Chlamydomonas reinhardtii: one gene and its partners. The protein of the gene in region 2 interacts with the protein of the main gene of each other region in a pairwise test. Links are inferred from orthologs where the notes say so. Each region holds a gene or a part of one and is shown on either strand. Other genes may lie near its edges. The genes, in order: CHLRE_17g698800v5, CHLRE_15g637100v5 and CHLRE_11g469450v5.

Region 1 (4,285 bases), on a different chromosome or scaffold from region 2:
GTTACCGATGTCCGTGGGGTGGGGAGGAGGTAGGAGGCGGGAGGCGGTGCGGAGTGGGGAATGCATAACGCCCCAGGTCTGGTGTGTCGTACCGAATCATCCTGAGCACCTGCCTAGACCCGGATGCTGGCCATCTTCCCCACCATCTTACTCACACAAGTTCGCTGGTGGGTTGTTATCACAACCACACATACAGAGAGACACAAACAAGCGCGCGCGCACGCTGCATTGTCCTGCGTACCTCCTTCCTTGCGCTCACTCATCCGCTTGCCCTGCGCCAATGACAGACCCCCGTGCCGCCAGCCCCCACACGGTGACTAGCACCCACCCACCAATGCAGCTGCAGCTCGGAAGGCGCGGCGTGCGGCGCGTTGGCATACGACGCCGTCACGCGCACGATGACCTTGCCGTCACGCGCCTCGCACGTGGCATCCACTACCGCGCCGGCCTTGCTGTGGCGGCGGTAGCGGGTGAGGCTGGTGTCCACAGCGCCGCGCTCCAGCGTGGCCGTTGCGCTGGCCTGCGGCACCCAGGAGGGAAGCTGCGAGAAGCCGGCGCGACCCATCGCGGGATGGGAGCTGGACAGGATGGAGGGCTGGCGGGGAGCACCAGGGGTGGCGAGGGGCGAGGGGCTGGGGGCTGCCGGCAAGTGGGGGACCGAGACCGGGTGGGCGAGGCTGGAGCAGACGGCGTGCCGCGGCGCAACACCCTTGCGCGGCCCGCGTATAAAACGCGCGGGCGCCTGCGCAGAGCGTGAATACACCAGTGTAGCAGTATAAGTGGCGCAGCGGTTCAGGGGATCGCGCGGCGCGCGCGCGAGTGAAGCCTAGATACTTTTGACGGCAGCCATCAGGGATGTATCTGTGCTTCTGTCGGCGCGCCCGCGCGCCCACATCATGCGTTGGTGGTCCGCTGAAGCCGGGTTAAAGCTACACTGCATCCACAATTGGCCTACTACGGCGACAGAGCGACACCCGCGCGCGAGCACCGCATGCAGGTGGACTGTCGGAAGACCTGCCCAAGTTGCCGGCGCTGTCCTTACCTGGACGTGTCCTTGTATCATCATGTGGACAGAAGCTCGTATATGCCCTTAATTACTTCAGCGCTACAGTCCAAGCGAACTCGCGACTTTTACCTTGCGCGCTTAGCAAGTTCACCCCGATCTAGGTAGGATTCTTGACCAGTAAGTTGGCTGCAGTCTAGAGCTAACGGTATCTCGTGCACTCGGCAGACTGAATGTGCCGGATGGTCGCGGCAATAGCAAAGAGGGAGACCGTAGTGCCTTTCCTAAAGGATCACAGGCATGAACTTGTTTCAGGTATGCCAGAACTTAGCAGCACGGGTCCCGCTTAGCTGAAGGATGGGGCAGACGACCGGGATGAGGCCCCATCGATGTGTCAGCCCGTCGGGCTCTGCCGCGAGTTGCTGTTGTCTTTATATGCTCATCATCAACACACCAACAGTCCTGTGCGCGACCTCGGCAAGGGCCGGGAGACCGCAGCTGAATGGCTTTTGACGTTTTGACAAAACCCAGCTTCCGTGATATCTATGGACTGTTCACGACTTGACATACCAAATAGGAGCCACATAGCGTCCGTGAAGCCCAAGAGCGGCGGTAGCGGCCGCGCTGATAATCCTCAACTCCCGCGACCTAGCGCACTACACTCTGCGGCGTCGCTTGCTTCACGAGAAACATTACTGTAGTGAGGGTTGTTATGTCTTTAAACCGGCTCTAGCCAGCGACAAGGCACGGCGCGGCTGGTGCTGACGAGTCACCCGGCGTGAACGTGTGCTGCCGCCGGCCGTGGTAGCATGACCGGGCAGGCAGCCGCTGCGGGGGCCCAGACGGTCGGCGGACTGGGCTGCGTCCCAGAAGCTCCGTCGGCGGATGCCTGGCAGGTGGCCGCGGCGCTGGTGGCGCCGCAGGTTGCGGCCTTGTCCACATCCATGCAAGGAGGGTGCGTGGTGCGGTCGCGGGTCCGCAGGAGGACACGGGTAGCCGCCTCGTGGCTATGGGGGCACGGGTGGCTGAGGTGCCGTGGTGCAAGGGCGGCTATGGGTGGAGTCATGGCTGTGATCCCTGTAGCAGCGCGCACTGCTCTCCAGGACACCGTGCACAGCATGCATCGCCCCGCCCCACCGGCTTGCAAGGGTGCCCCCCGTTCACCAGCTGATGCAGCTGCCCTTCTTGGCCCAGGGACGCCTCCCCCCATGTCCGTCCGCACTTGCCGCCCCTCTCGAGCAGGAGTGGCGCCAGTGGCGGCAGTGGCGGCGGCGCGGCGTTCCCGCAGCAGTCGCCGCTGCCTCCGCCGCCGTCGCTGCACGTGCTGCGCTCCTCGCAGGTGGATGCGCTGAGGCTGGACGCGGAGCTGGGCGGCATGCTGCAGGTGCGGGGTGTGGGTGCGGGTGGGGGTGCGGGTGGGGGTGCGGGTGCGGGTGCGGGTGTGGGTGCGGGTGCGGGTGGGGGTGGAGGTGGGGGAGTGGGTTCGGGTGCGGGTGTGGGTGCGGGTGCGCGGCCCGCTGGCAGCGCGGGGGACGTGTGTGGAGGGGTGCAAGGGAACGCAAGGCGCAGTGGGGGTAAATTTGAAGGGTATGAGACACCGGGTGGAGGCAAGGGCATGCAGCCCGGGTTGTCGTCGGCTGGGCGTGTGCAGGGTGCAGTCACTTGGCAGGGGCACGGGCACTGGCGGGCTCCTGCATCCGCCACGTATCCGCCTGGCCCAATCACGCCTATGACTGTGATGCGCATGCCATGCCACCAAATGTGCGCAGGAGCAAATGGTGAAGCTGTTCGACCACTTCAGGCCGGTGAGCGGGCATGTGTCGGCGGGTGTGGATAGGGCTATCCCACACACTGCCAGCAGCTAGGATATGGGGGACGGCCTGCAGGGTAGAAGCAGTAGGGCCTGCTTGGGTCGCTCAAAGCGGCGGTAAGTGGCGCACGCCGCTCGTCACGCGCCCCCCCCCCCGGCCTTCCCACGCACGAGTGCAGGGCCAGGCGGCGGCTCTGGAGCCGGAGGTGCGCGCCGTGCTGTCACTGCTGGTGAGACCGCCGGTCACTGCTTGAGTGCTTAGCGGACTCCGCGCCGGCGCCGTTGCATGTCACGCCACCTCCTTGCTTCACCACAGTAGTCGGCGGCGTGTGGTGTCTGTTAGCCCGGCCCCCCACTGCTGCACTGTGTCTGTGCTTGTGCACCACTGCCTGCTGAGGGCTGCTGCGGTTGTGTTGTGCCCCCTGCCGCCGCTGCCGCTGCCAGGTGTTTGGGCTGTCGGTGTGGGGCGGCGGCGGCACGGGCCGCGCCACGCCCGGCTCGGAGCTGCTCAACCTGAGGTACCGCAACGAGTGGGCCGTGGCCGCAGACAAGGTGGGGAGGGGGAGGGGGAGGGGGCGGCGCAGAGGGCGTGCGGGCCTGTGCGGGCTGGGGTCATTGCATACTGCGGTAGCCTGGCAGCTCCTTTCCCCGTCCCTGTGCCCACCCACGCGCCTACTGTCCACCACCCCATCCAGCCACAACCCACGCGCCCTGCAGGCCTGCGTTGGCCGCACGGGCGTGGAGGGGCCGGGCCTGAGCCGCGGCCAGCGACTGGGGCTGGGGCTGGGCACCGTGGCACTGCCGTACGCCTGGGCGAGGCTGTGTCGGGCGGCGCATGCCGGCGACTGGTCGGAGGCGGAGGAGGGCAGCTGGCGGCGGCGGGCGGCGGGAGCCATGCGCTGGGCGGAGGGCGCGGCGGCGGCGGCGGCGCTCGCCAACTCGTGGCTGTTCCTGGTGCGCGGCGACTACAGGTGCGGCGGGGATTGAGGGTCGCCACCGTGCGTGCAGAATGCTGGTGGCTGTTTGGTTTGGTGTGCTCGTTACGTGCGCTTTGCGTGCAAACTGCTTGTTGCGGTGCTGCGGCTGCGCCACCCCCCGGCACACCCACCCCGAACAATCGTTCATGACCCCAAACAACCGTTCATGTCCCGACCCACGGTCCAACGCACGGCCCAACGCACGGCCCCACGCACGGCCCGCACGTGCTCGCGCAGGACGCTGCTGGAGCGGCTGCTGGGCTGCCGGCTGGTGTGGCGGCAGGCGGCCATGAGCCGCATCATCAGCTTCGAGTACCTCAACAGGCAGCTGGTGAGGGGAGGGCGGGGTGGGGCGGGGAGGTGAGGCGGGGAGGCAGGGAGGGGAGGCAGGGAGGGGAGGCAGGGAGGGGAGGGAGGGAGGGAAGGAGGAGGCCTGGGAGAGGGGAAGCGTCGGAGACTTGGGTTGCGGCTCGGGCGGCGGGTCAGGTCTCAGGT
Region 2 (3,109 bases):
AGGGCTGCAAGGCCGCCTGCACCCGCGCCTGCGCCTGCGCCGGTGCCAGCGCCGCCGAGGCCGCCGAGCAGGGCTGCCATGGTCGCCATGTCGGGCATTGCGCCGGTGCCGGGAGGGGCAGCGGTGCCGGGAGGGGCGGCGCCGGGGGCGGCGGTGCCAGGAGGGGCGGCGCCAGGCGCGCCCATGCCGCCCATGGCGTTTCCGAACATCTGCGCAAAGAGCGGGTTGGAGCCCTGTGGGAGTCGAGAGGAGAGAGGAGAGGGAGGGGAGAGGCAGGGGAGAGGCAAGGGTGGGGTTGGTCAGGCTCTCGGCATGCGGTAGGATAGCAAGAGGTGTGGGCCCTGCGGGGAGGATTGCGCAGACCCAAGACAAAGGCACTCCCCAGATACCCTTCATCCTATAGCTCTCCCTCTCACTCTCACCCGCATCTGCTCGATCTGCTGCATCAGCTGCATCATCTGCGCCATGTGCCGCGGGTCCATCATCGCCCGCAACGTGTGCGGGTCGCTCAGCATGGAGCGCATCATGGGGTTGGCGTCCGCCATCGCGCGGAGCTGCGTTTCCAAAAGGCGCGAACAGCAATTTGGCAAAACAAGCACAGTTAAGCAAAGTTTGTAAATCGTAAAGTATTGTAAATATTAAGTAGAAATTCCAAGCAGCAAAAGGAGAGCAAACATTGGCACACAGATGCTGCCGCGCTTCCCATCTCGTGACCCCTGCTAGCGCTCGCGCAAAGCTCGTTGCCCCTCGCGGCCTCGCCCTCGCGCTCACGCCCCCTCGCACCTGGGGGTTGGAGTTGATCATGGTCTCCATCAGCTGCGGGTTGGACGACAGCGCGCCCATCATTTGCTGCACCAGCGGGTTCTGAGGATGGATCCCACAAATACATTTGTTTCATTTGTTTGGTTATGGAGGGCGGGGAAGAGGTGCGTTGTTAGAAACAGGTCATGAGAACGCGGTGGAGGGAGGGAGCTTTGCTAAGCGAGAGGGAGCTAGCTAGTAGCTAGCAGACGGATTGAGGCCCCCTGCCCCCAGGAACGGTGGGCGCAAGACGGGGGCAAATGGGGGCATGAACGGATTCGCGCTCCGCCAAAACAAACCGCTCCCCTGCCCCTCTCATGCACATGGAAACGGAACATCTAACGCACCTGCAGCATGGACAGCGCCTCGGCTGGGTTCATGTTCATACCCGGCACGCCGCCGGGGCCCCCCGGCCCCCCCAGCGCCCCGAGCCCGGGAAAGCCTGCCCCCAGGCCCCCTGGAAGCCCGCCGGCGCTGGACCCGGTTCCGGATCCAGGCGCGCCGCCGCCGCCGCCAGGAGCCCAGGGGTTTGGAAGCGGCGCGTTGTTGGGCGTGGCTGCTGCTGCTGTGGATGCCGTGCCGTCGCCGCCGCCGCCACCGGTCCCTGAAGCAGTGGCAGATGTGGTGCCAGTGGCGGCGGCGCCAGCCCCCGCGCCTGACCCAGCGCCGGAGAGTGCCTGTGAGGTGTGGGAGGATGAGGCAAGGCATGGGGAAGGGCGCGGTCAGGTCAAGAGCTCGCCCCATTTACCAAACTGCCAGTACATAAATGCTAAATAATTCCCAAGAAGCGCTGTACAAAAATGCTAAAAACATATTCCGAACATGCGCTGTATCAAAATTCCAACACGCGCTGTGCACCCTACCTGTGCTAGCAGCGATGCAAGCGGGTCGGCTCCAGCCGCAGAGGCGCCGCTCCCGGAGGTGGAGGTGGCGGTGGCGCCGTCAGCGCCCGGCGGCGCCGTCGCAGCGTTCATCAGCGGTTCCTGTTGTTGTGGGTTGCGCGCAAAAGAAGCAAAATGAAATTGAGGCAAGGAGGCTACTGATTGGATGAGAGAGGACATGAGACCGGGTTCAGATTGTTTGCCTTCCGAGAAACATAGCATGAGAGGGGTTCTGGGCCTGGGTTTGCCGCGGGCAGCAGTACCCTGAAGCCCTGCTGGACACGGCTGTCTAACCCGACCACGCCCTACCCTCCCGCCCAACCTCCTACCCACGCTCCCGCCCACGCTTCTACCCACCCACCCACCCACCCTCGCACCCACCCTCCCGCCCACCCTCGCACCCACCCTCCCACCCAACCCACCTGTATTTGCTCGTGCAGTCGGCGAAGGGCATTGAAGCCCTCGGGCAGTGCCTCGATGTTGGACAGCGCGCGGTCGCTGGTGCGCATGTGCTCGCGCATCAAAGCCTGACAATTTTAATTAAAACGTATAATAGTATGCATACGGTTAGATGAGAGGAAATACAATTTTGGTAAATGGTGTTATGTAAGGGTTCTGGTGTGAGTCCGCCCTCCGCAGATTTGCTGTGTGGCGGCAGGCTGGGCTTGCGGCATGAGCCCTAACAGGCACAGTCGGTTTGGGTTTGGGCACAACCGTTGAAGTAACCTGAATGGCGCGCAAACTTTCATGAACGAGAACACCCAGAAGTTATGTGAATGGCTCATAAAAGAGACCGCCCAAACACCCGTACCTCACCGCCCCGGCTCGCCAGTTTTGGAGCGATATAACCGCGCACCCTGACACACACATGCACACCCCGGACACACGCGCCATCACACGATGCCTTCCCTGATTATCACAAATTTACGGTACACATACGCCTCTCGCGCGCAGGTCCGGGGCCGCGGCACACACACGCCACCGGACACCCGTCACCCACACCAACCCGTCACCCACGCCAATACCGGTCACCCTGGCACACCCACGCAACGCAACCATACGGCCACCCACCGGGTTGGACGCGATCCGCATCATTTCCCGCAGCGTGGCGGGGTCGTTCAGGACTTGCCCAATCTGTTGGGAACGACACAAGGGAAAATATAAAATTATTTCTAATCATGTAGGACACGGACACACAGGTCAGGGCCATGCGTTGAGGCCCAAGTTCAAGGCATCGCAACGCGTACAGCGAGTGCCCACCAGTGTTTTCCAAAACCCGGGTACTACTATCCAATACCGGGTGCGGACAACATAATTTGGGGAAATTGACACGGGAACACAGCAATGCAAAATATGGGAGCTGCGAGTACCCACGCGGGTACCTAAAACCTTTGTGCTGGGAAATACTCTGCCCACCTCGGGGTTTC
Region 3 (4,045 bases), on a different chromosome or scaffold from region 2:
AGTTGTGCGTATGCAGTCATGCACTCACAAACACACGCACACAAGCAGCTGGCACGTGCAATTGACCCAGCCATCGCACGAACCCCCGTGCGGCCATGGCTCCCCATGGCTCCCCATGGCTCGCCCGAAGCGACTCGTGCATCCATCCCATCCCATCCACCCCGCCCCGCCCCGCCCCGCCACCTGTGCTGCCGCCAGCTGCGCAAGCAGGCTGTGCGCCAGCTGCTCCTCGCCGCCGCCGGAGTAGGCCGGGGCGGCGCCGCCCCCCAGGCTGGCGGCCAGGGCGTTGCCCAGAATGGCAGCTAGGTTGGTGGCCTGCAGGGCAGCCGCACGGGGTGGCCGCGTGGGATCAGCAGCGTGGGATCAGCAGCGTGGGGTAAGAGCCGCACGGGGTCAGCCGTACATATGCGAGGCGAAGGGTAAGGGGTGCGAAGGGGTGGGTAAACGGGCGAATGGGAAAGCAGTCTTGACCGCGACTCGGTGGGTGGAAGTGTTGAAGGGTCATGGGACTGGCACGCGCCCCATGGCTGGCTGTGATGAGGCCACCACCATGCCAAACAATGCGAGCACCGCACCGCACAGCATCGCACAGCATCGCACAACATCGCACAGCACAGCACCGTTTGCAAGAAGTACGCATGTACGCACGCACGCACGGACCTGCGCGTTCACGGCGGCGGTGCTGCCAGGTGTCTGCGCCGGAGCCGCCGGCATCTGCCCCACACTGCTGCCCTGCCCCATCATCACACCTGCACCCGGCGAGCTGCGGGGCGCAGACAGAAAGGCCAGCGCGACGGCCGCGATGGCACCAGAAGTAAAATGTCAATCTACATGTAAGAACGCATGCTGATGGCAGTGCAGACGCCAACATATGCGTCACGCAATTGCGCACACACCGCAGCGGTAATTGCCGCCTCCTTTGTCTCACGGCCGCTCGTGAGCATGCTGAGCGGTGATGATATCCTCACCCATGCAGGGCATTGCTGAACAGGCATGGCCCAGCGGTAGGGCCTGCGGGTCTCGCACCGCCCGTTCACAACCCAACATGGTGCCACCGCTTGTGTGTCCGCGCACTCACGTGGACATGTGGGCGTGCTCCAGAGCGTCAGAAGCCGTCACGCCGGTGGCCGTCACGGCCGCCGCCGCAGAGGCCGCCGCAGCCGTCAGCGCCGCGGCCGCCGCCTCCTCTGCGCGTGGCGCACAAAGCATTTGCAATTGCCGCAAGTAGCGGGGTGGCAAGTGGCTGCTATCTGCCGCTGCTTGCCTCTTGCTGCCACTGGACCGGTTCTGCCTTGGTATATGCAGGCACCCAAGTGTCTTTGCGACCCGCATCCATACCGTACCTCCCTTCGGCGTTCCCCGTCGTCAGGCCGCCTTTGGAGCTCCCTCCCTGCATCCTCGCCGCCCCGCTGTCCTTCCTGCCTTCCTCTCCGCCCCGCTCCCTGCCTCCCCCCGCCCTGCCTGCCCTATCGACGCGCGCCCCCTTGCGCTTGGTATAGAGCATCCTCCTCCTGCCTGTTCCCCTCCCAGCTCGCTCCCACCCCACTCAAGCACCCAAACCGCTGCCCACCTGGTTGGTGCAGGGCTGTGTTGAATGCCGCCACAAGCGCCTCGTCATCCTCCGCGGCCCCGCCCTCCTGCAGCCTGTGCGGGTTGTGGGCAGAGAGCATCCATAACACAAGCGAGGCTGTATACACAGAGCGTGTGGGCGTGTGGGCGTATGTGACTGCAAGTGCTGCCCCGAGTTCCATGACCGTGCTCCCGCCCATCCATTGTGGGCAACTCGATAACCACCGGGGCTACTCCGTCGGGGTGAATAAACGGTGGACCCATCCCATGAGCTTAATGCCGTCAACTAGCTTGCCTCCCTCCCCCACCCTATCTCCCTCTCCCTCTCCCTGTCCCACCTCTGCTCGGGCACCACCCACCTCCCCGCACCACCCACCAGAAGAACATGTTGCGCTCTTTGTCCTCGGGGAACTTGAGCACCACCGCGCGCTGGCCGGGGATCTGGCGGGCGGCGTTACGAAGGAATAGGGATCCGAGTCATCCGACACGGCACGGGCGCGTCAGCGCTGGCGACATGCAGCAGCCATGGGGTTCCATGGGAGCGCTGGCCGCCGCGTGAGCACCACCGGTACCCTGGCCCCCGGGCCCCCCAACACCCCCGACGCCGAGCAGCAGCCCAGGCTTGGACTGGAATAAAGCCCCGTCGTTATATCATCGTGTCTCTTTGGTCGCTTGCTGGGAAAGATGAAAACGCCTACCCACCGACCCACCCCACGCACACGCACGCAGCACCACAGCCCCGCGCACCTTCTCCAGCATGGCCTCCCCTGGGAACACAATGACGTCATCCACCGGCTCCGCGGCCCGACCCTCCGCCGTACGCTCGTACCATTGCACGTGAACCAGGGTGTCCTCCGTCTGCGTTTTGGGGGGTCAGGGGATGGAGCTCTTCGGCCGCGCTGCGCCTTTGGCTTCTTCTGGCACACCCTGCGCACGCCCATTTTCCCCCTGAACACTTGCCTGGCACAGCCGAACTAAGCCTTTGCGCGGGTCTGGCGCCAGCGTCGCGCCGCTACGTGTGAGTTTCCCCGCCTTGAACTCAGCCAGCGGAGCCTCCATCGCTGCCGCTGGGACGTGAAGTGGAAAGGTCGCGGGTGACGCACCGCAGTCTTCGTCCGCGGCGTTGCGCCGCTTTCACGCGTGTTCTTTTATGTGGTATAGGGAGCGCAAGGCAGGTGTACCGAGAAAGCCGTGTTGAACACAAAAACGGGCAGATCAACTGTGTTTCCCGTCCTTAAGCATGTATTTGTGCAGGTCCAATGAGCATAGAATTGAATGCTTGTACTCAAGACAACCGTTGCATCGCGGAGCAGCGACCTCGCCGTGGTTCTACGATTCATCTTGTCCATGCGTCCACCTCTGGCCCGGCCTGAGCTTGCCGGTGAGAGGTGTGAATAGACAGAAGCCCCTGGATTTATCACATAGTCCTTGAGAGCCAAACCGTATCCCGCGAAACGCGACTTGCTTCCAGAAGGGGGTCTGCTTTCTGCAGGCTACGGACGGGACGATCATCTAGTCTGACTGCTTCTAGACTTGGTTTGGTCATAAGGCAGGGGCGAAGACGCGAGGATGGGGAAGCCGCTGCACTTTGACGTGCACGGCCAGCTGCGCGTCCTCGCAGTCGACGATGACTCCGTTAACCTTATGGTCATTGAGTCAGTCCTAAAGCCGATGGGCTGGGATATCGTGCCGGCAATCGATGGCTCAGAGGCGTACGCTGCGTGCGACAACGAGCCGGAGTGGCCTGATATCGTGCTGTTGGACTACAACTTGGAGGTCGGAGATAGCGGGGAAACGGTGCTGGCCAACCTGCGCAGCCGCTTCGCGGGATTCAACGTGCCCATCGTCATGTGCACCGCAATGTCCGCCAACTCAGCGGAGCTGGACCGCTGCCTGAAGAATGGCGCTGTGGACATCCTGCTCAAGCCATATGAGCGCAGCAGGGTCATGGACATCGTGGAGAAGCACTGCCCGGGCAAGGCAGCGCCCGCAGCCAAGCCCGCTGCCGCCCTGCCACCGCCCGCCCCCGCGGCGGCTCCGGCCCCGGCGCCTGCGCCCACAGCGGCCCCGCCGCCGCCGGCGGCGGCCGGACCGGCCGCCGCTGACGTGGAGTCGTTCTGCGTGTCCATCGGCCTCGACTACCTCGGGAAAAAGCTTAAGGAGCAGGGCGTGTCGCTGTCGGACCTGAAGGGCTTCGACGACGCCGCGCTTCGGAAAATGGGCGTGGTGGTCAAATCGCAACGCGATAAGATTCTGGATGCCGCCAAGAATTGTTAACAACAAGGTGCGGATGGGGGCTGTGGTTTGATTGGGCGGCTTGATGCTTCCAGGGTGATGATGTCTTGGCCGTCGCAGACGGGGTTCCGTGGTTGCGTGCTGTGCAGTGTGGGTCCGGGGCAAGGCAAACGATTAAGTGTGTTGTTGTTTGAGTTGCCGTCCTGTGCTGGGCTGCATGCCTCTCCCACCCTAATGCCTT

Evidence for each region.
Region 1: the proteins of CHLRE_15g637100v5 (region 2) and CHLRE_17g698800v5 interact in binary tests that used the Arabidopsis thaliana proteins (3 or more experiments, as listed by UniProt). The link is inferred for Chlamydomonas reinhardtii from reciprocal best matches to the Arabidopsis thaliana genes DSK2 and TED3.
Region 3: the proteins of CHLRE_15g637100v5 (region 2) and CHLRE_11g469450v5 interact in binary tests that used the Arabidopsis thaliana proteins (3 or more experiments, as listed by UniProt). The link is inferred for Chlamydomonas reinhardtii from reciprocal best matches to the Arabidopsis thaliana genes DSK2 and RPN13.

Annotation. Positions count from the first base shown.
Region 1 is NC_057020.1:398,563-402,847, reverse strand, and holds the start of CHLRE_17g698800v5 (uncharacterized protein), read left to right. Parts: upstream 1-1,440; 5' UTR 1,441-1,812; coding exon 1,813-1,958; intron 1,959-2,245; coding exon 2,246-2,387; intron 2,388-2,772; coding exon 2,773-2,808; intron 2,809-2,992; coding exon 2,993-3,043; intron 3,044-3,257; coding exon 3,258-3,365; intron 3,366-3,530; coding exon 3,531-3,784; intron 3,785-4,027; coding exon 4,028-4,121; intron 4,122-4,285. Other genes in the region: CHLRE_17g698850v5 (uncharacterized protein), read right to left, coding at 333-742, 1,043-1,066. UniProt on the Arabidopsis thaliana protein: E3 ubiquitin-protein ligase component of a retrotranslocation channel required for peroxisome organization by mediating export of the PEX5 receptor from peroxisomes to the cytosol, thereby promoting PEX5 recycling.
Region 2 is NC_057018.1:535,817-538,925, forward strand, and holds part of CHLRE_15g637100v5 (uncharacterized protein), read right to left. Parts: coding exon 3,099-3,109; intron 2,817-3,098; coding exon 2,754-2,816; intron 2,210-2,753; coding exon 2,105-2,209; intron 1,785-2,104; coding exon 1,665-1,784; intron 1,479-1,664; coding exon 1,149-1,478; intron 865-1,148; coding exon 784-864; intron 555-783; coding exon 423-554; intron 234-422; coding exon 1-233. UniProt on the Arabidopsis thaliana protein: Binds and presumably selects ubiquitin-conjugates for destruction. Prefers multiubiquitin chains rather than single ubiquitins, with a binding affinity for 'Lys-48'-linked ubiquitin chains.
Region 3 is NC_057014.1:2,128,341-2,132,385, reverse strand, and holds the start of CHLRE_11g469450v5 (uncharacterized protein), read right to left. Parts: upstream 2,831-4,045; 5' UTR 2,629-2,830; coding exon 2,530-2,628; intron 2,428-2,529; coding exon 2,317-2,427; intron 2,011-2,316; coding exon 1,946-2,010; intron 1,645-1,945; coding exon 1,571-1,644; intron 1,188-1,570; coding exon 1,079-1,187; intron 764-1,078; coding exon 661-763; intron 316-660; coding exon 184-315; intron 1-183. Other genes in the region: CHLRE_11g469400v5 (uncharacterized protein), read left to right, coding at 3,139-3,846.